Kluyveromyces lactis: one gene and its partners. The protein of the gene in region 1 purifies or fractionates together with the protein of each later gene. This does not show direct contact. Links are inferred from orthologs where the notes say so. Each region holds a gene or a part of one and is shown in the gene's direction. Other genes may lie near its edges.

Evidence for each region.
Region 2: the proteins of MEX67 (region 1) and MLP2 purify together in Saccharomyces cerevisiae (affinity purification with mass spectrometry; 5 studies listed by BioGRID, with this or other methods). This does not show direct contact. The link is inferred for Kluyveromyces lactis from reciprocal best matches to the Saccharomyces cerevisiae genes MEX67 and MLP1.
Region 3: the proteins of MEX67 (region 1) and SAC3 purify together in Saccharomyces cerevisiae (affinity purification with western blotting; 3 studies listed by BioGRID, with this or other methods). This does not show direct contact. The link is inferred for Kluyveromyces lactis from reciprocal best matches to the Saccharomyces cerevisiae genes MEX67 and SAC3.
Region 4: the proteins of MEX67 (region 1) and NUP159 purify together in Saccharomyces cerevisiae (affinity purification with mass spectrometry; 3 studies listed by BioGRID, with this or other methods). This does not show direct contact. The link is inferred for Kluyveromyces lactis from reciprocal best matches to the Saccharomyces cerevisiae genes MEX67 and NUP159.
Region 5: the proteins of MEX67 (region 1) and NUP170 purify together in Saccharomyces cerevisiae (affinity purification with mass spectrometry; 3 studies listed by BioGRID). This does not show direct contact. The link is inferred for Kluyveromyces lactis from reciprocal best matches to the Saccharomyces cerevisiae genes MEX67 and NUP170.
Region 6: the proteins of MEX67 (region 1) and NAB2 purify together in Saccharomyces cerevisiae (affinity purification with western blotting; 6 studies listed by BioGRID, with this or other methods). This does not show direct contact. The link is inferred for Kluyveromyces lactis from reciprocal best matches to the Saccharomyces cerevisiae genes MEX67 and NAB2.
Region 7: the proteins of MEX67 (region 1) and NUP133 purify together in Saccharomyces cerevisiae (affinity purification with mass spectrometry; 3 studies listed by BioGRID). This does not show direct contact. The link is inferred for Kluyveromyces lactis from reciprocal best matches to the Saccharomyces cerevisiae genes MEX67 and NUP133.

Annotation. Positions count from the first base shown.
Region 1 is NC_006039.1:845,802-849,567, reverse strand, and holds MEX67 (Mex67p), read left to right. Parts: upstream 1-1,499; coding exon 1,500-3,266; downstream 3,267-3,766. Other genes in the region: protein-transporting protein SEC63, read right to left, coding at 1-927; OSW1 (Osw1p), read left to right, coding at 3,589-3,766. UniProt on the Saccharomyces cerevisiae protein: Involved in the export of mRNA from the nucleus to the cytoplasm.
Region 2 is NC_006037.1:55,751-59,957, reverse strand, and holds the start of MLP2 (Mlp2p), read left to right. Parts: upstream 1-1,407; coding exon 1,408-4,207. Other genes in the region: RPL40A (ubiquitin-60S ribosomal protein L40 fusion protein), read right to left, coding at 1-231, 771-778. UniProt on the Saccharomyces cerevisiae protein: Together with the closely related MLP2, involved in the structural and functional organization of perinuclear chromatin. Together with MLP2, associates with the nuclear pore complex and form filamentous structures along the nuclear periphery.
Region 3 is NC_006040.1:1,418,083-1,422,347, forward strand, and holds the start of SAC3 (Sac3p), read left to right. Parts: upstream 1-1,465; coding exon 1,466-4,265. Other genes in the region: HOM2 (aspartate-semialdehyde dehydrogenase), read left to right, coding at 1-107; RKM5 (S-adenosylmethionine-dependent methyltransferase), read left to right, coding at 301-1,269.
Region 4 is NC_006042.1:330,428-334,636, reverse strand, and holds the start of NUP159 (FG-nucleoporin NUP159), read left to right. Parts: upstream 1-1,409; coding exon 1,410-4,209. Other genes in the region: porin POR1, read left to right, coding at 1-796. UniProt on the Saccharomyces cerevisiae protein: Functions as a component of the nuclear pore complex (NPC).
Region 5 is NC_006041.1:1,832,305-1,836,529, reverse strand, and holds the start of NUP170 (Nup170p), read left to right. Parts: upstream 1-1,425; coding exon 1,426-4,225. Other genes in the region: KLLA0_E20637g (uncharacterized protein), read right to left, coding at 1-787. UniProt on the Saccharomyces cerevisiae protein: Functions as a component of the nuclear pore complex (NPC).
Region 6 is NC_006042.1:904,012-907,451, reverse strand, and holds NAB2 (mRNA-binding protein NAB2), read left to right. Parts: upstream 1-1,371; coding exon 1,372-2,940; downstream 2,941-3,440. Other genes in the region: KLLA0_F09867g (uncharacterized protein), read left to right, coding at 1-811. UniProt on the Saccharomyces cerevisiae protein: RNA-binding protein involved in RNA processing and transcription regulation. Acts as a regulator of mRNA stability: binds the poly(A) tail of mRNAs and pre-mRNAs, preventing their degradation by the exosome.
Region 7 is NC_006037.1:703,054-707,128, reverse strand, and holds the start of NUP133 (Nup133p), read left to right. Parts: upstream 1-1,275; coding exon 1,276-4,075. Other genes in the region: rRNA-binding ribosome biosynthesis protein RPF2, read right to left, coding at 1-840. UniProt on the Saccharomyces cerevisiae protein: Functions as a component of the nuclear pore complex (NPC).

The DNA of each region.
Region 1 (3,766 bases):
ATAGTTCCTTGCATATTCGTTTTCAGTCTTTTCACGGTTAACATGGGAATGGATAATGTTAGCGATGTCCACGGAAGACAATTCTGGGAATTTCAATTGGAATTCTTTTGCTTCAGAGATCCATTTAATGATTAAGTCTGGCACAACAACATAAGATGGTTTGAAGTTGAACATTTTGTCAACGAAGTGAGATGCTGTTTCAGAATGAATACCGTGTTTTGTGTACTCTTGCGAAGTGCTCCACCATTTAGAAACTACCATGGGTAACACAAACGCAAGTAGAATGAAATATGCAAAAACAACAAATGGGGAAGTACCTCCTTCCACCAAGAACTTGGGCAAAGCGATACCGTGAGAAGTAGATTGAGGACCATCTGGATGACCATACTTTCTATAATTTTCCTTCGTAATTTCATCAGTTAAAGCCTTATAAGCCTTGTTAATCATCACGAACTGTTCCTCCATAGCCGTTCTTTCAATCTCATTTAGGTCCTTGGAAAGCTTATCGGGATGGAATTTGACAGATAATTTCCTGTATGCAGACTTGATCTCTTTATCGGTAGACGAAAGCGTCACACCAAGTAACTCATATGGATCAAAAGCCGCTGCTGCAATCTGATAGATAGCATCGTTGGAACGAATATGATAAATCAACATCGAAATGAGCACCCAACCAACGGTAATGAAGTAAATTCCCTTCTTGGACCTTTTCTTCTTATTAGCAAGTCTATATTTCCGAACTTCTTCTGAAGTATATTTTTCGTGCAATTGACTCCATTCTGATGAAGAACTCTTATCGCTGGAGTCCCCAACAATCAATCTATACAGCTCAATCAATGTTACCGGTGTAACAGCCACAAATAACACCGTGAGTACGAAAAATGGCCATGTGGTGCTTGCCTCATCGTAATCATAATTCTGCGGCATGGCGTCGTTGTCTGTTCGTCTGCTTGTCTGTTGTAGAACCAAAAGACTGCCAATAAATTAAGCCGCTACAATAAAACACACAGCAGGCAGCAATCAAAAAAAGTGAACCACAGTGTACTATTAAACAAAAAAGCCTTCAAACTGCAAACAATTATTCCTCTGATCTAGAAAAGTAGTTAACAGTTAACTTATTTCGATTTTAATATGCCAGTCTGTATTTTCCAAAAACCTTTGGGTTTTTTTCCTTCTGTTTGAAACACTATACGTATTCAATACGGCAGAGCTTAGAAGAACAAATAGAAGAGAAAGACCAAAAAAAAAAAAGATATTTATACGTCACGTGCTCGTAATATATCACATGACCTTGAATTTTCTGTTTCGATTTGGTCGATCATCTCTTTCTACTAAACTGAAGAATAAAATTAAAAAAAAAAATGCTAAAAACCTAGAAATAATCAAAAAATGTGCTAGTCTCATTGGTAATTGAGATGGGAATAGAGATTGAAAGATGAGGCTCACCGGGTTAACCGATTTGGTTGAGAAAAGTCTTGTGATATAGCGTTACTAGAGTGATGCAAGTTAGTGGTTTTGGTAACGTGAATCAGATTGGTGCTTTGGCACAGCAAAACCAATTGGATAACTTAGTCAGCGTTAGCATTCGTGGATGGACTAACGCTACTCAACAGGATTTGTTGAATTTCATTTCGAGAAAGACCAGGATCTCAGTGAGAAACTCTGTGGTTCAAGGGGACACTATAGTTGGTTATGTGACACCGCAGGAGGCAGATCAATTGGTGAAATTTAGTGGGTACCGGTTTGCAGGCAATTCATTGAAGATTCACAAGGCAGCCGGTGGGAACACAAACCCTAATACGAATGATACGATAACCGTTCTTCGTAATGTGCTTTTGAGAAGATATAATGTGCAAACGAGGATGTTGGATCTTGGTAATTTGTTCAATGATCCGGAGTTGGTGCAACGCGGTATGGCTCCGAAAAATGTTAATACGCAGTCCAAGATGTTCCCGGCTATGATGAAAGTGGCTTCAAAGGAGCCTAGCATGGTTGTTGAATCGATCAACCTATCTGATAATAATTTGAGAGACGTCAATGGTGTTACCACGTTGGCACAGACTTTCCCTCATTTGAAAAACCTATGCATCGCCAATAATAGTATTAGTCGATTCCATTCTCTTGAAGTTTGGAAGAATAAATTCAAAGAGTTGAGGGAGCTTCTGATGATGAATAATCCAATTACATCGGATCGTTTATATCGTACAGAAATGTTAAGGATATTCCCCAAATTGGTGATTCTAGATAACGTTGTCGTTCGTGACGAGCAGAAACTACTGTCTATCTATAGCTTACCGGTACAACAAACCCAGTTCTTTTTCGAAGATAATGGATTGGCATCATCGTCAACAGATTTTATTACCAACTTCTTGAACTTGTGGGATTCGAATAGAATGCAATTGATGGGTTTGTACACTCCACAGTCTCAATTTTCCTTAAGTGTTGATTCTTCCGTTCCAGCTGCTACTGTACCTAATGCTCAAACGACTCCTACATTCGGTCATTACTTACCATTTTCAAGAAACATTTCCAAGATATCTAGCGACAAGACCATCCAAGAACGGTTACGTATAGGGCCCGAAGCAATTTATGAAGTGTTCGGATCTCTCCCTATGACAAAACATTTTTTGCAAGAACAACCTGATGCTTACTCTGTGCAAGCCTGGACCTTCCCACAAGTTCAAGGGTTTGTTATCACTCTTCATGGCCATTTCGATGAAACTGCCAAACCTGAAATTGACAAGAGCAAAACATCACAAGGATCATCTGCCTCTAGAGGAAGGAGATACAACCATGGATTTACGTCTACGCCGAACATCAAACTTTCACAGAAATCCTTCGATAGAACAATGGTCTTAGTTCCAAGTCCAAATGGTAGTGTCATCATTGCATCTGATTCGTTGACGATAAGGCCATTCTGTGATAGCGCTTGGTCTAAACCACCTTCTCCACCACATCTCCAAGCTCAATCTGTGCAACATCAGCCACAAATGAACGTGCCCCTCTCACAAACTCCGCCAAATACATCATCCATTCCTGGCCAAATCCCGGGAGTTCTTGGATCGACACCTTTGCAATTCTCACCGGAAGTGCAAGCAAAATTGTCACCTGTACAATTAGAACTACTTCAGAAGTTACACCTTGAAACAAAGCTTAACGCTGAGTACACTTATATGCTTGCCGAGCAAAGTCTTTGGAACTATGATAATGCTATCCAAGGATTTAGAAACAGTGCAAACAATCTACCCAGAGAGGCATTCATCTAAAAGTATTGAGCTAATCATGTGCGCTTCTTTAAAAAAGAACATCTTAATTCATTCAGTATAATATATAGTTGCATCTCACACAAATAAATTAAACTAAGTATATCCATCTATTTATATCAGTTGGATTCAAGGTGACTTGACTCTGTGACTATTTTTTATCATATATCCTGTTTGTCACAAAGTGTACGTCAATAAAAAAAGGGCCTAACATTCAGAACATTATACTAGCCAATGAACTCTTAAGCAAATTACAAATTGTGATTATAAGCTCACTACAGTTTTGCTGAAAACTCACTATTCCAAGGCAATATAACTACATTAAATGAGATCGATACCAGAACCTCGCCAATCAAAATATAATCGATTTAGAAGGTTATTTAATAAGGTGCATAATTGTGTCACTTTGAAAAGATTGAAAAGGCGATGGAACCTACACAAGTTGAAGAAGAGCTCAAGGAATACAAATCAGAGATCTGCAATCCCAATAGACCGTATTGCTA
Region 2 (4,207 bases), on another chromosome or scaffold:
GGTTCAATGATACCACCTCTCAATCTCAAAACCAAGTGCAAAGTGGATTCCTTTTGGATGTTGTAGTCAGACAAGGTTCTACCATCTTCCAATTGCTTACCAGCAAAGATCAATCTTTGTTGGTCTGGTGGGATACCTTCCTTGTCTTGAATCTTAGACTTGACATTGTCAATGGTGTCGGAAGATTCGACTTCCAAAGTGATGGTCTTACCAGTCAAGGTCTTGACGAAACTGTTTTCAAAAAGATATGATTTGTTAGTAAAAGTTTGAAACTCGATCAGAACAAAGTTCTTAAGGCAATCTTATTGGGACGATTCCTAGAATTAGTGAACGTTCAAGTTAATTTTGCTAGATTAGTAAAGCTTAATAAAAAACCAAAAAAAATTCCCTCTGTAGGTATGAATTGTTGTGCATTTGATAGTTAGGAGGTGATAGGTCCCATTAAACTGCTTCCTTGTATCCTTATTCATTCTGCAAAGCGTACTTGCTTTCGTTTGAAGAAATCGTGACATATATCTCACTCAACAGTTTAGACCGCGTACTCACACTCTCCGAAATGAAACGCTCAAGTTCTCACAGGATAGCGACTATCATGATATATGTTACACCAAACACAGTAAATCCTTGTCATTTTCATTAGTTGTTATCCGAGTTCGTCTTGTTGTTTTTTAGCTAATGTGCTTTCGTCCCATTTCAAAGTAGCATAAACCGTCTTGAATCACCAAGAAACCCCAAAATAAGATGCCTTTTGCTTATCATATTGTGCATACATTTGCATTTTTGAATCTTGTCCTTTCCTGATCTTTTTGATAGTAATCAACAACTAAGTACAGCTATCTTAAGTGCGTATGATTAAATGATATAATCCAAAATACTTTGAGTATGAATTCTTGCTTGCTTTCCTCAATCTGGGTTTGGTACATAGAAAGTTGGTGAACCTGAGGAATCGACAACGAGCAAAAACGAAGTGATTTCTGCAATTAGAAAATAAAAATACCGTTTTGAGGAATATATGCATTTTTAATTGTCAAGCCCCGAAATTTATACACCCAGACACACTGTTGAATAGTGCACGGATGTTGTTGCAAACCGTCCCAACTTGGAACGTAGAATTTTACTGGTACCGGTTACCCTGATTGTTAGTTTAGATACGACTTCTGTATTTCGTTCTGCAGTCAGTTCGTGGTATCTGGTCGTTATTTTGAATTTCACCGAATTGGACCTAATATTGAAATTGAACAAAAATTACCTGTCAAGAACAAAGCCTATGTGCATTGTATATGCTCATGTATACCTGCAGAAATTTTTAGTATACTTCTAATTGAATATCATAGCGATTAGCTTGAACACTAGGTAAAAGTAGCGTCTTATAGATTGCTATTCCATTGTTGTGTTGTGGAGTTGAGAATGTCCGTAGAACCCATTGCCTCTAGGGTCGCAGACTTTCTACAAGTCGACCAGCAACTGATACAAGACATTAATAATGATGTTTTAGGTAGGATTGAGGAGAAGTTGGAAGATCTTCGGAAACAAAAATCTGAAAACCTAAGAATAACTGCTACCTTGGATCAATTAAAATCTCAATCAGAGAACAAACTAGAATCATTCAAAATTCACATCTCTCAACTAGCCAAGGCATTGGAAGATGGGAAGGATGAGCGCTTACACTTTGAAGAAGAGAAAAGGCGTCTAATTGAAGGAAATTCACAAGTGACCAAAAGAATCATAGAATTGGAACAAGAAATAGAAGTAGAGAGGCAACAAAAAGAACTTGCTGACGCTTCTAAGCAAGATATTGCAGAGTCACTAAACGAAAAAATTGAAGAACTCAGTTCTACCAAAGCTAAATTGAATGAAGCACAGGGAGCGAATAAGGAACTTAGACAAAAAGTCGTCAATACTGAAACTGAGCTACAAACTCAGCAGGCCTTAGAGCTACGTTCGAAAAGCGAGATTTTAAGGATGGAACAAGAAATCACATTATTGAGAGAAAACAATGACTGGTTGACCAATCAGTTAAATACCAAGACCGTACAACTCAATGAGTTTAGAGAAAGCACAATTAGTGAATTACAAGATTCTCAGTTAAAGGTATCGAATATGGAATCAGAGTTGGAAATAGCTCGAACCAGTAATCAGAAACTAAAACAATCGGTACACAGTTTACATGAACAACTGGAGCAAAAACTTTCCGAGAACAAAGAAATTAAAGATGAGTACAATTTCTCTAAACAAGAGCTTACGAAAGAGATGTCTTTAAAGCAGAGAATGATTGATGCTCTAGAGAAACATATGGAATCATTGAAGAAAGAAATGGATGCTACAAAGAATAACATGGACTCATCATATTTCACCGAAAAAGAAAGAGACGAGCTCATTGAAGAGCTCAATGCGGTCAAATATCGTTTAGACGCATCTGAATCTAACTGCATAAAACTTAAGGAGACAATCGATGAATTAACATCCAACATAAAATTAGAAGACTCCGAAGTTGGTAATACCACTGCGTCTTCAGAAAAATCGGTTTCTGTCATACCTAAGTTATATGGTGATTTGGGAATGCTCAAAAAACAGCTGGTTATTGAGAAAAGACAAAAAGACGAGTTAAAAATGCAAGTGGAAGCATTCGTTGTTGAATTAGAGCATAAAATCCCTGTTCTCAATTCCTTCAAAGAGAGAAGTGAAATGCTTGAAAGAGAGTTAAATGAGGTTACTATTTTGTTAGAGTCAACTGGCAAAGACCGTGATCAAAAGTCGTCACAACTTGATTATTTGAAAGCTACTGTGAAAAGCTATGAGACTCAAATAGCCTCCCTATCTAAGCAACGTGTTGACCTTGCCCATCAGATACAGTACTTACTCGTGAACGAATCTATTAAGTCAGAGGATGGCGGACCATTATCCGCTGAAGAATTGCAATTTGTCAAAAATCTAACCAACTCTCAAGAAATAACAAAGACCTCTGACACTCAAGGCATTATAACCGATCGACTAGTAGAATTTAGATCAGTAGTTGAGTTGCAGCAGAAAAACTCCGAACTTCTTTCTACAATTCGCAATCTTGCTGATGAATTAGAACGCAGGGAAGCTGAAAACAAATCTCAAATCCAGGTATTAGAGGATGAAACGGTGAGAGAGGCAAAAGAAACCATTCTTACACTTCATGATCATGCACAGAACCTTGAAAACCAACTAGTCATTCTATCAAAGGAGAGGGACGCATACAAGGCATTGTCAGTAAATGCTAGCTCTGGCACAAACACACCTAAGGCCATTACTTACCCTTCTCCTGATAATGACGATAAAGTGAAGGATCTCGAAACAAGACTCACCGCTGTCATTCAAGAAGCAGAGAATAATGCCAAGGAATGGTCATCAGAAAACAGCAACCTGCGTAAGAAATTATATGAAATATCACTTAATTTCGAATCTGAGAAAACTTCACGTACTCTTGCAGAAGATAGGTTAAATCTATTACAATCAACTTTAGAGCTTTCCAAACGCCAATGTGAGGAGCTACAAAAAAGATCATCTGATCTACAAGATATTTTAACAAAACAGGACAAACGTACACAGGAGACTGTAGATTCCTTAATCAAAACGAAATCCACTTTGTCATCTATACAATCGGAACTATCCATCTTGAAGTCTGAAAAACAGTTTATGGCAAAGGTTCAAAAGGAACTGAAGGCAGAGAACGAAAGATTTTCCAAAGAAAGTGTCGAATACAAGGTGTTAATTGCGCAACTTCAGACACTCCAACGTGAGAGAGAAATGTTACTCAAGGAAACTCAGAATTCTTATAAGGAAAAGCTTAGAAAATTGGAAATTGAGTTGTCTGGTTCACTCGAACGCCTTGAAGAAATTGAAAAAAACACCACAGGAATTGCTAGCAATAAAGAGCATCAATATAATTGGTTTCAAGAAAAGATTGATAAGTTAACTAGTGAGGCAGCTCAACAGAAAACGACCTTAGAAGAAAAAGAAGCTCAACTTCAGAAAATGCAATCCACTATCAATGAACAATCCGCAAAACTCAAGGAGGCCGAGGCACGGGCACAATCATATACGATGTTAAGTAATGTCGATGATGCTCAAAACCTAGTTGAGACTTTGAGACAGGAATTGGAAAAGGTTAACTTGCAACTTTCTGATTCATATTCACAAATAGAGCATCATAAAACTCTGGCGGAACAGTCCGTGCAAT
Region 3 (4,265 bases), on another chromosome or scaffold:
CTGTATTGGACTTCAAAATGGTTGTATTGTCCCACAACACCGTTATCGGTGCTGCAGGTGCAGGTATCTTGATTGCCGAAATTCTATTAGCCAAGAACATCATCTAAACGCAAAATGATAATTCTTCCTGAAGCAAATTTGAAAGGCAGTTTCTAGTGCTCCGAATATTTTTGTTTCTTTCACGTAATCATGTATAACCAGATAAAATGTAATTCATAATTCATATTTCGTTACAGAATACCTACAATGGGCACTAATCCATTTCAGCGCAGAGCTTACTAAGATGACGATCTGTTTATCATGGAATTAGTACTGCTCGATGAAGAGACTTTATATGAGTACATTTTCGAACGATATGTGGAATTAGAGGCTAACGCAAACGATTTATCTCAAGATCTCGGTATTCTGTCGAGAAACGAATCAGAATTAGAGATAGACATTGGGCCACATCGCCTAGTGACCAGGAAAAAAAAAGCACCAGAAAGAGATGAGTATACATTTAGTATACACCAAAACCTAACCTCTTTAAATTCCAACCGTGATAATAATAACTCGACGACTGGATACGTCATTTGGACCACGTCTACTTTTATTCTCAAATGGTTATTATACAATGACAACGCTACCATATTCACAAGAGGGGGTGTAAAGGATGAGGTAGATATTACATCCATTTTTCAATGTCAGCAAGATGATAAACTACGATATGTCCTTGAACTGGGCACTGGAACATCACCAATGTTTCCTATTGTTTTCTCTAATTACGTTGATAAATATGTGGCCACTGATCAAAAGGACATCTTGCCTCGATTAAAAGATAACATCCAAGAAAACCAGTCAGAGTGTAGACGGAGACTGCTTAAATCCAACACAATTGCTTTAGATGATCTTAAGAGACGTACTGAGTTGGAATGTCAGATTGACATAGCGCTGTTAGATTGGGAACTGTTCTCAGGTAGCAAGAAATCTAGAAACGATCCCGTTCTTCAATGCGGACCGAACTTCCATCTGACTATAATCGCAATGGATGTAATATACAACGAATACTTAATTGTACCATTTTTAACCACTCTTGAGTCGTTATTCGTCTGGTATACCGAACAACGTGTAACGGTATCGGCATTGATCGGAATTCAACTTAGAACTCAAGATGTACTTGAAATGTTCCTCGAAGAGGCTATCATAGAGAGACAATTCATAGTGCACGCCGTCGATGAAAAAGAACTTAACAAGTCACGTTTCATACTCTTACACGTAAATTTGCCCTAGTTCATATACACTAGGAGGGCTTCTCTCTCTATAGATACCTTAATGCAGTTCTTCTGAACATACTGCCGTAGCATTAATTTTTAGCATTTGAAGATATAATGAAATACAAAGAATCATAACCCAAGTAAACTATTAACCATTATATAGATGTTGAGTTGAAAACAACTCCTGCACCAGTAGGCCGTGCATTGTAGCCATGTTAGGGTCAATGTTTGGGGGTTCCTCCATACCACCGTCTGCTGCACCCTTTAGTATGCATGATAGCTCTAGATCATCTAGTAATCATGCGGAGAAACGCAAATTTAAGAGGCCTAATGGTAAATCTAGCAAGACTACATCCAACAATGGCTCTAAGGGGAAGCTAATAAAGAAAATGGTACCAACTTTGAGTCAGGATCAAAATGAAATCATTGGCACACTTTTTGATGGAAATCCAGCGATACTTGGGTTTCAACAGCCGACAAAACCAGCCGAGAGAGAACTACCGAGATATCTCATAAGACAGGCACCCATCTTGAAACCTGTACCGATAGTTCAAGACGAATGGGATAAAAAAAACCAGGAACGCATGCTTCAACTGGAAGACAACATATCTGATGTGACTACACTCTGGGAAACATTGAAGAAGATGAGAGACGAAGAAAGAGAAGTAATGGAAGAGAAAGGACTCGTTGACAAAGCAGATCAGGCGAAAGATCTTACTGAAGCAATCATTTTCCAAGGTACGTGTCAAGATATGTGTCCAATCTTTGAGAGAGCTAGAAGAAGTGTTGAAAACAATGTCGTGAGGTATGAAAAAGCTAATCCAAGTGATAAAAAAGTTGATAGAGGTAAAGCCTTAAAGGTATTCGCTAGACCTGCAGCTGCAGCTGCTCCACCATTACCGTCTGATGTTAGACCTCCTCATGTGTTATTGGGAACACTGGACTACATAGTAGATGAAATCGTCCCTCTACTACCAGACTGTGAAGCCTTTCTATGGGACAGGATGAGATCAATAAGACAGGACTTTACTTACCAGAATTACTCAGGACCTGAAGCCATTGATTGTAACGAGAGAATTGTAAGGATACATTTGCTAATTTTGCACCAAATGGCAAAGACAGATATTACCTTCAGTGTTCAACAGGAACTTGAACAACTACACAAGGCGATAATTACTTTATGTGAAATATACGACGAAGTAAGAGATCAAGGAGGACAATGCCCCAACGAAGCCGAATTTAGAGCGTACGCCCTTTTGAGTAAGATAAGAGATCCCGAATATGACAAGATGGCCCAGGACTTACCCAATGATATCTTCAATGACGAGCTAATGCAGTTAGCAATTACCTTCAGAAGAATTCTAGCGAACTCTAACCATGTGGAAAGAGGTGTTGTCGTAACGGAGAATTGCATGAATTTATACGACCGATTTTTTCAATTAATTCAATCTGATAAGGTACCCTTTCTAATGTCTTCATTTTTGCAGGTGTATCTCAACGAGATTAGATTTTATGCATTCAAATCTCTTTCTTTAGCGGTAACCAGAAAGGGAGGGAACTTACCATACCAATATTTTATAGAGCACTTTTTATTTCGTGATGCAAACGATTTGGAGACATTCTGCCGCTACTACTCCATAGATTTCGGTGATGGGAAGATATTATTGAAAAGTCTCACTGGAACTTCTCATTTCCTAGCAGAAACTCAGCCAATGAGAAAGAATTGGGTTTCATGCGTGGAGCAAAAATTACAGAGAAATACCACGACTGCTCTTATAAATAATCGAAAACACAATGTTGACACAATTCCTTCTAACAAGAGGTCTCTCCTGGACAACGTATCTCAACTAGAAGAATCACAGCTAACGCAATATAACCAAAACTTTGCTGGAACATCTGGTGCTAAGGAAACCCTTCCTATATCTGCAAACCGACCCTTTAGCTTCCAAACAAGTACTTCCCTAATCACAGAAAAGAATGCTACGGCCAATGGAAACCAACCGTTTATGTTTGGTACTCCGTCACAACCTAAAACTGATGTTAAAAAAGCCCCTAACGACGTGTCATTAGAAGGTGTAAAGCTCGGGCAAGCTGCACCTTTTGGAAAGACAGACGAATTTGTAAAAAAACAGGCATTACAGCAAAAACTGGAGGAACAAAAGCAAAAGTTCAACATGCAAAAGCAGTTAGACGAAAAAGCCCGACTTCTCAATGAAAAGCAAGGCTTAGAAAAACAAAATGAAGAAAAGCTGCGGAGACAGCTGGAATTAGAGAAAGTACAACAAGCAGCTATTCAAAGAAGAAATGAAATTGTCAATGAAACCAGCAGTAACATCTTTACTACTTTAATGGAGCAACAACTAGAAAAAACCATTAAAAATGAGATTCAAAAGAGACAAGCTAACGCCCTTCATATTGAAAATCTGAGCAGGGATTTATTTCGGTCATTCATACATGAACAAATATACTTCGTATTCCTTGAAGTGAGAGCCGATATATTTAAGAAAAAGATTATTACAATGCATGTAATGAAGAAATGGAGATCTAAGTTCAATAAAATACTGAAATTGAAGAAAATCAAACAACAAAAACAAGAAGAGGCTCTAAGATTGAGTAAGGAACTTGGAGTAGGAAAAAGAGTTCATTCCCTACGCTCCACTACAAAAAAAAATAAGTATCTGGACGCCAATTCCACTTTTGAAGCGTCTTCTTTCATTAAATCAGGCACAATGAATTACAGCACACCTTTACACTTGGAAGAAAATCATTTCACAACACCGGTAAGAAACAATTCAAATGTCTGGTCTCCTTTAGATTTGAAAGAAGTGTATTTTAACGAGTTGTTATCGCGGCTGCAAGGAATCTTGAAAGATAGTAAGCTTCAAAGCAAAGACATCAAATCACAAATTGACATCGTACTATATTCAAAGACCTGGGAATGTATCTCAGGCCAGTGGCTTTTAAGTAAGTTCCACCTAGCAAAGGACTCAACATACACGATAGATAGTCCGA
Region 4 (4,209 bases), on another chromosome or scaffold:
CAAGGAATTCTTCCACGCTACCCCAGCTTCTGTTGACGTTAAGACCACTGCTCCAAACGGTGTTGCTTTCACTGTTAAGGGTAAAACTTCTCCAAAAGATGGCTCAATTGCTGCTAACGTTGAAGTTAAGGCCTCTGACAAGTCTACTGGTTTGACTTTCACCCAAGGTTGGAACAACGCCAACACTTTGGACACCAAGATCGAATTGGCTGAATTGACTCCAGGCTTGAAGACTGAATTGATCACTTCTGGTGTTCCAGGTGTCTCTAAGGCTGCTAAGTTGAACGTTAACTTTGTTCAACCTTTGTTTGCTGCTAGAGGTTTCTTCGATTTGTTGAAGGGTCCATCCTTCGTCGGTGACTTGACCTTGGCTCACGAAGGTTTCGTTGGTGGTGCTGAAGTTGGTTATGACATCTCTGCTGGTGCCGTCTCCCGTTACGCTTTGGCTTTGGGTTACAACGCTTCTGGTGCTTATTCCGTTGGTTTGTCCGTCAACAACGCTCAATTGATCACCGCTTCCTTCTTCCAAAAGGTTTCCCCAATCTTGCAAGTCGGTGCTAAGGCTGCTTTGAACCCTCAAGCTGGCTCTAATGTCAACATTGAATTCGCTTCCAAGTACGCTTTGGACGCCGTTTCTCAAGTTAAGGCTAAGGTTGCTGACTCCGGTATCGTCGCCTTGTCCTACCAACAAATATTGAGACCAGGTGTCACTCTAGGTATTGGTGCTTCTTTCGACGCTTTGAAGTTGGCTGAACCAGTCCACAAGTTGGGTTGGTCTCTATCGTTCGCTGCTTAAATGCATACTTAGTAATTTTACACAAGTGTTAAAAAGAAGTGTTACTTTTTTCTAAGTTTATGTTATTTTGCTTTGTCCAATGGATCACCAGCCTAGGTTATCAATTTTGAAATGATTCACATTCAACTAAAGTATCATTCTTCTTGGCGTTCCATTTGATACCGATATATATATATATTGCCTTTCATTTTGTTCGCTTTTTTTTCAGAACAACAATATCCGCTTTGTTTTCATTACAGATATGGCCTCAATTACAATGTTAACGCCTACTTCTTTCGAAGATACTTACCTAACTAAATACGTATTCTTTAATGACCATCTAAAAAATTTTATATCTCAAAACATTCATGTCATAGTAAAGACAATAAAACATGAACACTAACCTCATACTGATTTCCGGATCACGTGATTGATAATTTCCTTCTTTTTGGAACTTTGTTTACTTCAAAGCTATCATCAAAAAGCTTCAAACCTGTACAAGCACTGAACATTGCAACTGATGCCCATTGAAATTCAAGGTTTACAAATTAATAAGCAGCTGAGGTTTATATTAATACACTAACGGATTGAAACTACTACTGTCGGCACAGATAAAAGAACACATACAGAATCAATGACGTCCTCTGTGGTTGATGCGTTGAATGTTGAAACTACTGAGAGCTTGGGATTCAAGTTTTTATTCTCTAAACAAATTGTTCCAGGCTTCAATGAGGATTTGCCATTCTCAAAACTGGCTAATGCTTCCATACATCCGTTGAAAAAATTACTAGCTGTTGCTTCTTCCAAGACTGTGTCTGTATATGATCTGCAATCTGTCCGTGATGAGTCCTTCATCACTCTAAATACGAAAGAGTTCACGGCGAAAGTAGTGGGCGTTTTTTTTGTGGCAGAGAGTTTGGCTACGGTCCTAGAAGATGGTTCAGTATGGGTTACCGAATTGGACCAATTCGCCTGGGAACAATACTGGGACGGTAATGGTGTCAATGAAGTCATTTGTTCTGTAATTTTCCAAGGGAATGTACTTCTTGCGAGTAACGCTAATGTCGTGTTTAAAATATCCTTATCGCAAAAGCATTCTTCCGAACAGTTACATTCAATCACAGGTTGCATCGCAATTGACACTTTGAAACATCAACTTTATGTTTTACACAAAAATGGTTCTATAGCTGTACTGGATGAACAGTTTAACGTCACATCCTCTATTGAAAAGCCATCTCTCGATGAACCTAACGAACCGTTGTCCATAAACGCTTTGTCAGAAAGCAGTTTACTCGTATCGTACGGCGAACCGGTCGATGCCTCGGAAGAAGATATCATGTACGATTTAACCGTATATTTTGTCAATGTCAATACTAAATCTTTTACTCCTTCCATGGATATCGCGCCTCCCTATTCAACAGTCAAAAGAAATCCTTCATACTACTCTCAAACATTGTATCAACTCGCTCAGCAGCTACCACATCTATTCGTTATAGGATCATCGTGTGCATCAGAGCTATCGATTGCCACACCGAACGTGATGTATAAACCGGACCAAGATGCTGCTTGTGCAATTCTTCCAATCAACCCTGAAACAGATAATGATACACAACCCATTGGGATGGCCCTAGATGTATTTTCCAGTGGTACTGTGTATGAGCCTTGTTCCGGAGTAGAGGCTGCTGACAATCTACCGATATTATATGTCCTCACCAATCTTGGGGAACTATTTTGTTGGGCTTTATTCCATCACTCTGCTTTACAAAACTCGAGTTTCACGCTAGAACCAACCAAAACTCAGTATGTACAGTCTTTCGAAATCTTATCTCATAAAATAGAAAGTGGTTCTTCTTCAATGGAAAAGGAAAAAGTTACTTTAATTTCTCCCCAAGACACTAAGAACACAATAACTGAAGTAAGAAAGGTTCCTGAACAATCGTCATTTTTTGAAACTACAAATTCCTTCGCTAAAGGTTTTTCGTTCACTCCGAAGAACATGACGGATAGTACAAATGCTGAGTCTGAGGGCTCTCAAAATCCTTTGCTGTCATCTGGTTCATCTCCTGCATTTGGAAAACCTGCCTTTGGCCAAGCAACATTTGGCCAAGTAACATCTAGCCAAGCAACACCTGGCCAATCAGCATTCGGTCAACCAGCATTCGGTCTACCAACTTTCGGCAAACCTGTATCTAGTCAACCAACGTCTGGACAATCAGCATTCGGTCAACCAGCATTCGGGGAGCCAGCGTTTGGGAAACCGGCATCTAGTCAACCAACATCTGGACAATCAGCAGTCGGTCAACCAGCATTCGGTCAACCAGCATTCGGGGAGCCAGCGTTTGGGAAACCGGCATCTAGTCAACCAACATCTGGACAATCAGCATTCGGCCAAGCAGCATTCGGTCCACCAACTTTCGGTAAACCTGCATCTAGTCAACCAACGTCTGGACAACCAGCATTCGGACAACCAGCATTCGGCCAACCTGTATCTGACCAATCGGCGCCCAGTAAACCAGCGTTTGGCAAACCAACATTTGGAAGTACATCATTTGGTACCCAATCTCAAACTAATACCACTTCACCCTTGTCCGAAGAGGCAGAGACGTCATCTGTCTTTGGAACGCCAAGTTTTGGCTCCACATCTTTCGGAATACAAGGAGCTAATGTTACCTCTCCATTCGGAACCAACACAAAAATTTCATCAGAGTCGTCTTTTGGAAAATCGCTCTTTGGAACTTCTCAGTTTGGCAGCGACAGCGCTGTTACCAACCCTGCACCGAATTCATTCGCTACATCTGCGAAATTGTCTTCACCATTTTCTGCCTTTGCTACAGACCAAAAGACCATAAATCCATTCGAAACTCAGACTTCTGATCCATTCGGCCACTTGAATTCTAAAAAAGAAGACACTAAGTCGTTCAACTTTACTGGTTTCGGTGAATCTATATCAGAAGCTAACCACAGTTTGCCATCCGTCACTCAAGATTCTTTGAATTCGAAAGAAGTCAGCGATTCGACGATCGAAAACGATCAATCTGAAGTGCCTAGTCCAGCTAATGATTCGAGCATTTCAGAAGATCAAGACGATATCGAATCTAACATTGTATCCTCTACCGATGAAAGTGATTCCTTATACGGAGAGGACAGGGAAATATATGATAATGATAGATCTGATATACACATCGAAGCCTCTTCAAAACCTTCTTCAACTGTTTTGAACTCAAACAGTGACATAGAAGAGGATGAAGCTGAGCAAAGCAACGAAGAACAAGCAAAAGTGGAGACCAAAGATGGGCAAGAAGAAGAAGAAGAAGAAGAAGAAGAAGAAGAAGAAGAAGAAGAAGAAGAAGAAGAAGAAGAAGAAGAAGAAGAAGAAGGAGAAGAAGAAGAAGAAAAGGAGGAGGGAGAGGAAGAGGAGAAGGAGCAGCAAGCGC
Region 5 (4,225 bases), on another chromosome or scaffold:
AAATTTTCTGCTTAAACAACAGTTGGCAATCAATATCTTCATCAAAAGCACACGACTTAGCACGGAATTTTAATTTGGAGCTGGGTATCATTTTAGAAAGAGGTTCGATGTTTTCAATATGCACAGTTGCCTTTTCCGGTCCAACTGGTTCAATTTGTTGGTTATTGCACTCTGGTACTTCATTCATTGGGTTTAATATATAGAATGGCTTAACTGATTCAGGCAAGTTGGTAAAATCATCAATTGAAAACGCCTGTGAAAAATACCAATTTGGGTCCAACTTTTGGTACACTGACGGAATATAGCTAGCAGTTCGAAGGTTACCTTTTTGAGACCAGCTCAAGTTTGGTAAGCATTCCAATTCAAACAAAAAATTAGTTCTACACTTCGTCAAATCTTCATCTGAATAGTGAGCGTCTTTGATGAAATAATCACGATTTTGAATGCTTAATCTTCTTTCAAGGTCCTTAAAATTATCTTGTAATTCTTCTAACTTTAAAGAAGTCAAAACTTCTTGCTTTTTCGTATCTAACACAGTGTCCGTCTCTATATTGGTGGACAGCCTTTTGCGTTGTGGAGATTGTTTTTCGAGATGTAAGTTCAAAACCCCTGTAAGGCTGCTGCTAGCTGATTGAGGGCTTTCGTTTAAGTAAGGTATTTCAATCGGAATATTCTCCTTATTCAAATCTTCCAATAGGATATTTTTTTTTAAGCACATCCTTTTCGCCGGCTGGGTATTAACATCTTGGTTATCCAATGGGATCTTTCTTCTAAGCTTTCCGACCATTTTTGCCTTCTGTTTGAGCGAACGCTTTTCTATAGGAAAATTGCCGGGTAGTACTTTTCAAAGCAGGAGATTTAATTGATAATTTACTTAATTTTGAACTTATAATCAGGACCCAAGGTTTCTGGTATCATCTTTTATATTCCATTACCTATAGTACCAATTTATTGACATTTTGTCACAAAAGTGTCAAAATAAATGAACATGATAAAGTACCCATAGTTGCTAATACTAATATATATCGTCACGTATCACATGAAAACATACACTGGATGTTTCTTATGGGTGAAATCAAGAAACTGAATGCTTTGCAACTAGAATAAAGTTGATCTGTCGAACTGTAATGGTATTGTTGGCCTTTATGAGTTCACTATCATGTTCCAGTTTAGATCACCAGTTCCGGGTAATCATTTTCAAATTTTTTTCTTTGGTTCTCTGAATAAACAAATAAAGATGATGTTCTAAATCTACCTTGCAGAACCAGGTCTAACAGTTATGTTTCTCTAAGGGCACTTTGTCCAATTGGTTAACTGATTGCTCAGCATAAAATTTTGCTTTACTGTATCTGTGTACTTGTCTTTTTTGAATTTCGGAAATAGGGTATAGACTTGAGCTAACAGTGTATCGGCAAGACAGGACAGATGTCAATATATTCTACGCCGTTGAAAAGCAATTGGAATGGCAATGCAAACTTTGCCAACCCGTCTGCCAATGTCAACGGGCTACCGATGAATGGAATTGGCAATACCTCTTTGGTGCCTCAACAACAAGGATCAGACGGTACTATAGGAACGTACGGTGCTAATATGACAAACGTAATTTCAGGTTTAAACGGCAACACAGTAAACCCACTGAACTTTAATGCTTCACATGAGCATATTAAGGTAACGGGTCTTGGTGCTGCAAATCCTCTGAATCTTGCCTCTCAATACATTGATCATTTGTTGCGTCGTGACATTAGTACCCCGGTACTGGATGAAAGATCGTACTACAATAATGGGGTTAACTACAATTTTTCCAAGGAAGTTGGTGGATTAGGCCCATTTACTCCGTTTGAAAGACTTAATGTGATTAACATACCAGATGAAATTTTGCAGCAAGTATCTACTGCTGAAATCAAAACAAATATGGGTTTATTTCCCGATATTGAACGTTGTTGGATCACTGTTGATAGCAAGTTGATCCTCTGGCATTATAATAACCCTTCAGATTTCCAATCAATAGATGACATCAAGCATACCATATTACAAGTTGCCCTAGTGAAACCGAAACCTGATACATTCGTGGAATCAATCAACCACTTGTTATTGATAACAACTCCTTTTGACATATACATACTCGCAATTTCTTATGACAGAATCAGCGGCTCGTTCAATATCTTCAACACAGGGATGAGCGTTTCTGTTCATGGATTGGATGTACATGAAATCGTTTATTATGAGAAAACAGGACAAATCTTCTTTTCTGGTAACAGCAATGGGACCAACATTTGGGAACTTCAATATTCATCTTCAGAAGATTGGTTTAACAATAAATGCAGCAAACTTTGTTTGACACAGTCTGCTCTTTTGAGTTTACTCCCCACAAATATTTTCTCCAAGATTCCAGGCTCGGCACTTGTACAATCTTTATTTGAAGAAGATTCAAAGTATGCACAAGAATACATTACACATTTGACTGTAGACCAATCGCGTGGTATTTTGTACTCATTATCATCAAAATCAGTCATCCGAGCTTATAAGATTAATGGTAAATCCTTAGATGGACCAACTACAATCGAACCCTCTTATATTAAACGTATCATGGGAACGACTCCGGCTAGAGGAGCTGCTATCTTGGGTAACAAATATTTGAAAATAGTTAAAGTAGAGGTGGTTTCGAAAGAAGAGAATAACAATTTATTTTTGGTAGCTATCACAATTGGCGGTGTTAGGTTATATTTCAATGGTTCTGTTAATTCTGGTAGCGTAGAAGCTTTAAGATTAGAATCCATCAAGTTCCCACCAAGTTCTGTCAGTCCAGAAACCATAGAAATTGAGTTACAACAGCAGCAGCAGCAACAAACTAGAAAACTTACACCCTTCTATTCTTCCCTCAACAGTATGGAATCTGTACAGTTGAAATACCAGAAAAAATCGTCAGTGTTACTTGAAAGCTCGAAAGCTTCGTCAATTATTTCACCTGGCATTTTCTTTTCTGCTGTTACAAAACATCCAGCGGAACAAACATTGGGAACTATGGGAACACCTGTAGCAACTGTTCAAAACACTCCAATACAACATAAGCTCTTTGTCAGTGTACCAGATTATGGTATTTTGAAGAATCACGGTCGCTACGTCGAAAATTCTGTATTTTTGGATACCACCGCCCCAGTAAGAGAAGTTATCCCCATATCCTCTTTGTTCAACGGTGCCAATAAGCCAGAGGGCTATGCCAATGCTTTTGCAACTCAGTACAGTGTAGAACCATTGAAGGTTGCCGTTTTAACAAATACATCTGTGGAAATCTATAAATACCGTAACCCAGACCAGATCTTGGAGTCCTTAATTAACAACCCGCTGCCCTTCATTGTAAATTATGGGTTAGTCGAAACCTGCTCATCTGCTTTATTTGTCACTTGTAAATTCAATAAGTCAGAGTCTTTGAGATCCAATGCGTTAACTCTTTTCACTGTAGGTATACCTAATGTTGTGGAAATCAAACCAACATACAACAAATACGCGAACAGTGCGGTATCAACACTACTAGGTAAACCATCACTGAATTTGATGACCCCACAAAAAAGCTCTACTGAATTAAGCAAAACTGCCAATACTCTTTCGACACCAAATGTATCTGGTGCAAATAATTTCAACCTTGATGATGTCATCTTGTCCGCTAGATTCTACGGTACCGCTCTGTTGATTGCCAGATTATTTAGAGACATATGGGATAAAGATATTTTCCAACTCGATCCCCATGTAAAAATTAATCCGGATAATTCAGTGATGAAGAGTTCAATTAAAGGTGATAATATTATTACAAAAATCGTTGTATCAAGAGGTGATATCGAATATTATCTATCCTCAGTAATGATTTTAAACGAGTTCTTCCAATCATATGGTAATTCAATTACAACAATCACTAATATTTCTCCAATTAATGGAGAAAAGGTGGTGGATAAAGGAGAAGATGTTGCGCATCAGGCAGAAAATGTTGCTATGAACGCAGTTATCAAACTCCTTCAATCCATAAAGGAGTCACTTTCATTTTTGAACGTACTATTCGAAGAGAGTGAAGTAGATGGTTACGAAGGGCAATACTTAGCATTTGTTGACATTATGAAGTACTTGAATTTCGATATTCAATACGACTTAAGCAAGTTGAAATTCAAGGATATTTTCAATCCCAATGAACAAACCAAAAATTTAATAAGAGAGATTCTCTCCTCAATCATCAACA
Region 6 (3,440 bases), on another chromosome or scaffold:
CCATCTGGATAGCGAGAAACTAACAGAATTATTGAGGAAGAAGTATCCTTTTTTGGTGATGTATGATGGGAAGAACGATGTAATAGATCTTGGAAAGTTTTATTTAGGATTTGCACATTTTATGTCGCGAGAAATTACTTTTGCGGAGCAAATCAGCAGCGAATTTATATTCGCCTTCATGCGAATAGACTCAGAAAGAAGACGTCTTGAGCATGATGACGAATTGTTTTCCAAGGCATCCGATGATCTTTTGGCTACAAGAAGAAATATAAACAGATGGGCTAAAGAGTTAGAAGTGCAAATACTTCCTATTGTACTCTCTGCATACCAAATTCTTGCAGGTGATTTAACTGAGGGAGTAGAGAAGATAAAGGAAGCACTTAGGGATGAAACTTTGGATGGATTAGCCATAAGACTCAATATCCTTTCAGCGTATGCTATCGATATTATTAACGAAGTGATAACTATTTATCCGGAAATGTACAACCTGTCGGTATCTAATAAGAGAAGTCTTGGGGATTACTCTCTACACCTCACATTAGCAAGTCTTCTTTTGCAGTCTCTTCATCTATTTGCCGACCTTTGTGAACGCCATCCGAATTTATACCAACGATCGTTGCAACCTTTCACTTATGAACAATTCCAGATAGAATTGCAGGAAAAGTCGGAAGCAGTTACCAAGATCAACGAGGAATACGAGGAACTTATTAAAAGCATTACGACCATAACATTTAACAATGTAATAAATTACATGAAAGACAAGAAGACAAAACTACGAGACACTTCTAAAGAATACCTTTCTAAAGAATAGATATGAAGTAAGAAATTTCGACGGAATTTGTTATATGCATTGCATCTCATCACGAATAAATAAATTATAGCATAGAATCATTCTGCATTTCCACATGGAAACCCAATAATTAACTCCTCTAAATAATGAATACTTCCCTAGAGAAAGCTACTAGCAGTTTTATAAATATGAGAAAGATTTCTAATGCTCATCAACCACTGATCCAGGTCTCTACCTAAAACTGGAACAGGGTCTATTCACTGTCACTATCATATAGCAACTAACATATAATACAGGAGTTAACAACGAATCACGTGATAGCTCGGATAGCAGAGGACATCGTTCTGATTTCTTTTTCTCCACTCAACCTTCTGCGTAATATTCTACGATATTCCGTATACAGAGCCAAAAAAAAAATTGTTTCGGGCTGGTACAAGAAAAGGAAGAACAAGATTACATATACTTAAAACGAAATTAATTACGAATAATCTGAATGATTCTTTAGCAGTTATTTGAACAAGGATAAAAGCTAGTTTTGTTGCTTGATCAAACTAAAGAGGACACAAACCAAGAGTAGCAACATGTCAACTGTACCTGAATATATTGCCAGCAATTTAAAGACTGTCATCTCCGAGAGATTAAAGGTTGTTCCTAATTTCAACGAAGATGTTAACCAAGTCGCTGAGTATATTACACTTTTAATGTCCAACGGTTCCAGCGGTCCTGATATCGTACAAGAATTGACAAGTTTGTTTGATGGTATTAGTACGCAAGAGTTCCAGAGTGTTGTCTCCATTGCATTTACATCTGCAGATCTGTTGAAAGCAGGCGATGACTTGAACACCGTTTATGCAAAGTTGAGTGGTAATTCATCTCAACCTTCTTCAAGTGCACCTTCTGCACCTGTGTCAACTGGAACCGAAACATCTGTAGGAGTACCAGTACAGTCACCACCCGTTTCTGCTCCAGCTCCAAGTGCACCGGTTTCTGCATTTAGCGGGGTAGTAGATGTGTCTGCATCTAAATATAATACGGCTAACGAAGGGAGGTCTTCGCAACGTAACAAAGATTCATCGGCCCATAATGGGACTTCTAGACGTGGTGGTTTCAGCTCCATTAGAGGTGGAATTTCAAAGAGTGCTGGTGTTACCAATAGACGTGGAGTTAACTCGAGATACGGTGCTAACCAACTGGCGATGGCTCTTGGAATAAATGAATCGGAAGGCGCAAATGAAACATCTGGCCATGTTGTCATCAAGAGAGAAGGCCGTTGTCCTGATTTCCCTCACTGTTCTCTAGGAAGGAAGTGCCCTCGTGGACATCCAACCGTTACGTGTCCAAGTTATCCAAACTGTAAAAATCCACCAGGTACATGCACTTATTTACATCCAAATGAAGATGGACAATTAATACAAGAACTAGAGCGTGTAAGAGAAGAACGCAGGATAAAGAGGGAAGAGATGGAAAAGAAACAACAGCAAAGGATCAGTGGTATTGTTGTATGTAAATTTGGGATCATTTGTTCTAATCAAAAATGTCCATTTGGTCATCCAACTCCTGCAAATGAAGACGCAAAGGTTACCCAATTCAGTTGGTGCGAGAACAACTTGCAATGCACTGATCCGACCTGTAACAAGGCTCACAGTTCCTTATCCAAGATTAAGGAAATAAAACCAATCATACACAAGCCAGCACCAAAACCGGTCATTTCTAAACCTTCTAATCCAAAATTCGCGCCAAGATCGGTTGTCCCATTGGAAGAAAAGATTTTGGAACAATGTAAGTTTGGTCCAAAATGTACCAATAAAAATTGTCCAAAGAGACACGCAAGGTCGTCAATCATGTGCCGCGAGGGTGCGCAATGTACAAGAATAGACTGCCTCTTCGGTCACCCTATCAATGAACCTTGTAGGTACGGGGCTGAATGTAGAACATACGGATGTTTATTCCAGCATCCTCCAGAAAGGGTATTGCCTGAAAAGCCAAAAAAGCCTGATACAGAAAACACCAACGGTATTTGGTTCAATCCGCAGCTGATTGGAAGTGGAAATTCCTCGAGTAACGAGAGACCATTTGCTGTACCAGAATCTAACGTACAGTCAGTTCATGCTGGACAAGAAGTAGATGGCGATGCTATGATGATGAGTTAACATTCCAATCTACTCCGCTCTATTTAATGGTGATATCCTTAACTGTTTTATTTGAATTATTATTATAGTGTTATATCTATTAATTATTAAAAAAAAAAAAAGTCTTAAAAGGTAAAAAAATACTGTAAAGTAATAAAAAAAAAAGGTCAACCGGAAGAAAGACTACTGTAAAAAAGAGACTGGCAGTGTTTAAATTCCAGAAGCCTATTAATATGATTGGCGTATCTTGACCTGTACTCTAATGGTCATATAAGAGAAATCCCTTTTACCTTGATTTTATCACTATCTCTTTTTTTTACCATATGTCTTTTTCTCTGGTTTTTCTTGCTACGAAGTGTATAGGACAGTCATATAGTTTCCCTTAGTTAGTTTGTCACGTATATTGATCATTTATTATGATCGATCCTAAAGGGTTAAGGTCAATTATAATGAGTGTGAATATATATGATATGTAGCTTGTGAAGAGAAGAGGAACAATTGGTAAAATGTCAACAATATAT
Region 7 (4,075 bases), on another chromosome or scaffold:
TTGCTTACCCACATGCACTCTACCGATCTTATCACCCATAGTATCGATCTCAACGTTCTTAGCAACTCTGACTTCCAATTGTCTAGGTTTCTTATGGGCTTCCTTGACCATTTCTGGAGATGGAGTGTGAATTCTTCCGATCTTGAAATCGAATCTTGGACCAATCTCTTCCAATTCCACTCTAGGTAACTTCTTACCACCTTGTTCGGACTTGTAAGTCTTCAAGTGATACACTCTGAATAGAACATTTGGTAATGGTTCACCGTCTTGGAAATCACCTTGGACAGTGATAGAAATGATATGTTGCAAACCTGCAACATCTTGCAAAGTGGTATTCTGACCTCTGAAAAAGTCAAGGAACAATGATTTGATATGCTGGTAAACTGGATGTTGTTCAAAGGCTGCACCTTGGAAACTGAACATTGGCTTTAACCCAACGTTAAAAGTTTGTTTTCTGAAATCAGACAAAAGTTTATAGTTTTCTGCAATCTGCAACTCGATAATATCATAGATCTTATACCCAAACGTACGAATAAAAGTCAAATTGTTTCTTCTCTTCTTAGAATGTGTGCTCAACACCATAAGCGATGTATCATTCTTTTCAGATAAAAACTCTAATGGTTCATAATCTTCAAAAGGTCTGATGTTGTTCTTCTTGGAGAATCTCTTGATATCAGGCTTCTTCAACGCACTCAAATCAACCATTGAATCATGCAACAACTTGGTAGAAGTTTGACCAGGAATGAATAAAGCTTGCTTTACATTCTCAACCAATTTTGCTTCTTTTTTATCCAAAGCCCTTTTAGCACGGGCATTCTTAGGCTTTACTGTTCTGATCATCCTGGTGTTTACGGTGTCTTGATACAAATCACAACAATTACACCTTATAGGATAGAAATCTGAGCCAAAAGATGAACTATGTAGACTGTAACTTAGCTCATCGCATTTAGCTCATCGCATCGATTTGTTCCAGTTTAAAGATTTAATTTTCCAAGTTACTTGATAAGTGAAAAGAAACTATTCCAAAGTCACGTGGCGGAAAATGTTTCACGTGACATCACTTATGACGATTTCTTTGGCGACAATGAAAACAGAAACATTGACCAAGATTTTAAACAATGAGCATCAGAGAGTCTATTTACCTTTATAATTACAGCAATGCAAGGTCAAGCTAGGTTCGGCTAACAAGGTAGTGGATCAATTGAGATTAGAATTTCAAAGTTTTACATTTGGTGATTCTTTTGGCTTTTTTTTTCAGTGTCAAGATAGTACAAGATGAAGCAATTGTTTCAGCTCAGGAAAGAGCTTAGTGTACCAGCAGCAGCACCAGAGGATTCAGTAATCTCTGCTGAGGAAACGACAACTGGTTCTGCTGTCACCAATGTACAATTTTCGAATGAACAAGTTATCACAGAGAATGGGAAGTATAAGGTATCGAAGTTAGCGCCAAGTTTAAGTTTTTTGCCCAGTAATGTGGAATTATGTTGTAGCGTTGATGCAAAATCTGGGTACGCCTTATGCTGCGATACTGATAATGTTTACGTTTGGCCATTTTTATCTTCTGAAACACACCCTAGTTTTGTAAGGATTCCATTACATGACGAGGAATATGAATCATGGTCCCGTCCTCCATTATGTTGCTTTACGTGGCCTAGTGTGCTCGAACGTGACTTGAAATCAAGCCCTGGCTTATTTTTAGTGAACAGTAGATCCGGTGACATTCAATTCTATGAAGATGTTGATACTGTGAGTCAAGTGGCAAGTTTCTTGACGCAAACCAAACGTCATAAATCAGTTTTAAAACTACGTGACGGTGAATATGTAGAGAATTTGATTAATGCAGAACCAGCTGGAATATTACTTTCGACAAATTACGGGCGTGTTGAGTTTTGTACTATAAGAGATGCTAACGGGAAACCTTTTGTATCGCTAAAACAAACCATAATAAAATGTCAAGTCGGAATCTTTTCATCCATGTCCAAATCAAAGAGAGTGGTATCTCTCAAATTGGGCGAAATCAGCGGTAAAGGAGAAAGAATAGTTTCTATTTTAACCCAGGGCGGGCGATATCAGGTGTGGAACCTTTCATCTGTTGGGAATTGTTACAAAAAGATCGATTTAAATGTACAGTCTGAAATTTCACAGGCAGTCTTAGAGCATTTCCCCTTGGCAACATCTACACTGAAACTACTCGATTGTCATCCTTTATCAGGAGACTCGGATGCATACTTGTTCTTGAGTTTCTTAGCGGAAAGTAACGAAACGCACTATTTACTATCAACCATCATTGTGGATGAAGATACTAACAGTTTCGCTATCTTCTCTACTTACAGATTAAACACATACACGCGACCATTATCAGATGAATTTGCCCCAAGACTTATAGTCCCAACTGCATACACCAAGGAACATTTACCGATAACGTCTGTTTACACTTTATTCTCTGATGCTGCTGTCCTAACTCAAACAAGTTCCAAATTGGACTCTAATTATCCATTTAAAAGGAAATGGGAGGACATTATACGGTTTAACAAAGATATGAAAGTTCTTGGGTACGATTGTAATTCAAGTTCCTTATACATTACTGATGGAAGAACATGTGCGTTAAAGTTGGAGACTTTTGAAAAATACGAAAACTCTGACTTCCAAGAAATTAGATTCATAAAGTCTCATGTGGATCAATACGTCTATTTTGGAGGACAATCAACGGATTCATTACTAGACTTCAACTTACCTGACAATCTAGATCTACAACCACAAGAAATTGAAACAGATATTCAAATGTCCAGTGATGAGATTAAATATGCATTATCAAACCACATACCGCCTGTTGCTAACAACCCCATGAAACACTTAAAAATAAGAAGCGAACTTTTTGAAAGACTTCTCACATTTGTTGCTCATAATTTTTTGGATCAAACATCTTCCCAATTCAAACTGGACTTGATTTCTGATTTTGAAATGATAAAATGTTTGGAAAGCTTGTACTCTTTACTACCGCAACAACCAACATCTATTTCACAAGCTTGGAAGACAGTACTATCAGAAAGTTCCTATCAATCGGATTCTGATTTTATCTCAGACGGCATTGTTAAGATTCCAGAATTATTGGGCGCCTTTTTGAAGCATTTGAAAGACCTAATGAAATCCACAAATGAAACTATGTTAAAATCTCAGATCGCAAAGCTTATAAATCAACTAGTTTATCATTCCATATTAGAAGAATGTGAAAACAGCTACAGGTATGGACTTTTCCAGATGAGCCCAGATGATGTATCAAAAAATATCCCTTGGTTCACAACAAATAGCATAATAGAAAATCTTAATGACATCTTCTTCTTGTTAAGGCATGCCTCTGAAGATCTTGCCGTTGTGTCAGAATTTGTAGAGGAATTACTGCTATTGGTTAAGTCTCTATTTTATATGGTCAGGCAAATAACCATGTGGATTGATGCAAATGCCATTACTGATTCTAGTTATAAACAGTTTTTCGAAGAAAATCATTTACTTTGGAATAGGGTCCTTAGGGATGTTAACAGGTCTCAGGATTCAATTCTAATCACAGATTTTTACCAAGACTTTGAAGGCTTAGTTGAAACTTTGCAATCTCTGCCAAAAATTACCGCATTCTCTCTATACGATGAATTCTTCCAGAAATACGGATACGACTTTGCAAAATCCTTATTTTCCTACTATATCAAGGAAGGGCTATGGGATGATCTTTACGAATCGTTTGGTGAAACCCATTCAGAATATTTGGACCAGTTCTTAGGAGAATGTCCCGAGTATGGCAAAGTTAAATGGATTGGAAACATATATTGCCATAAATACGACGAAGCAACTACAACTTTGTTGAGTATTTCTACTGGAACTCAATCGCTGGGTCAAGATTTGAAACAAAGACAGGCACAATTGAGTATTGCCAAATTAACAGCTCTTGCCGCGGAAGTTCAAGATCTTGAAAAGCTAAACGAAATTCAAACCGAATTAGATCTCATCGATGGGCAAATTCTTCTATCCCAAGAACTACAAGAATCAACTCTCAACCCACTATTCAAAGACTTTACCACCTATC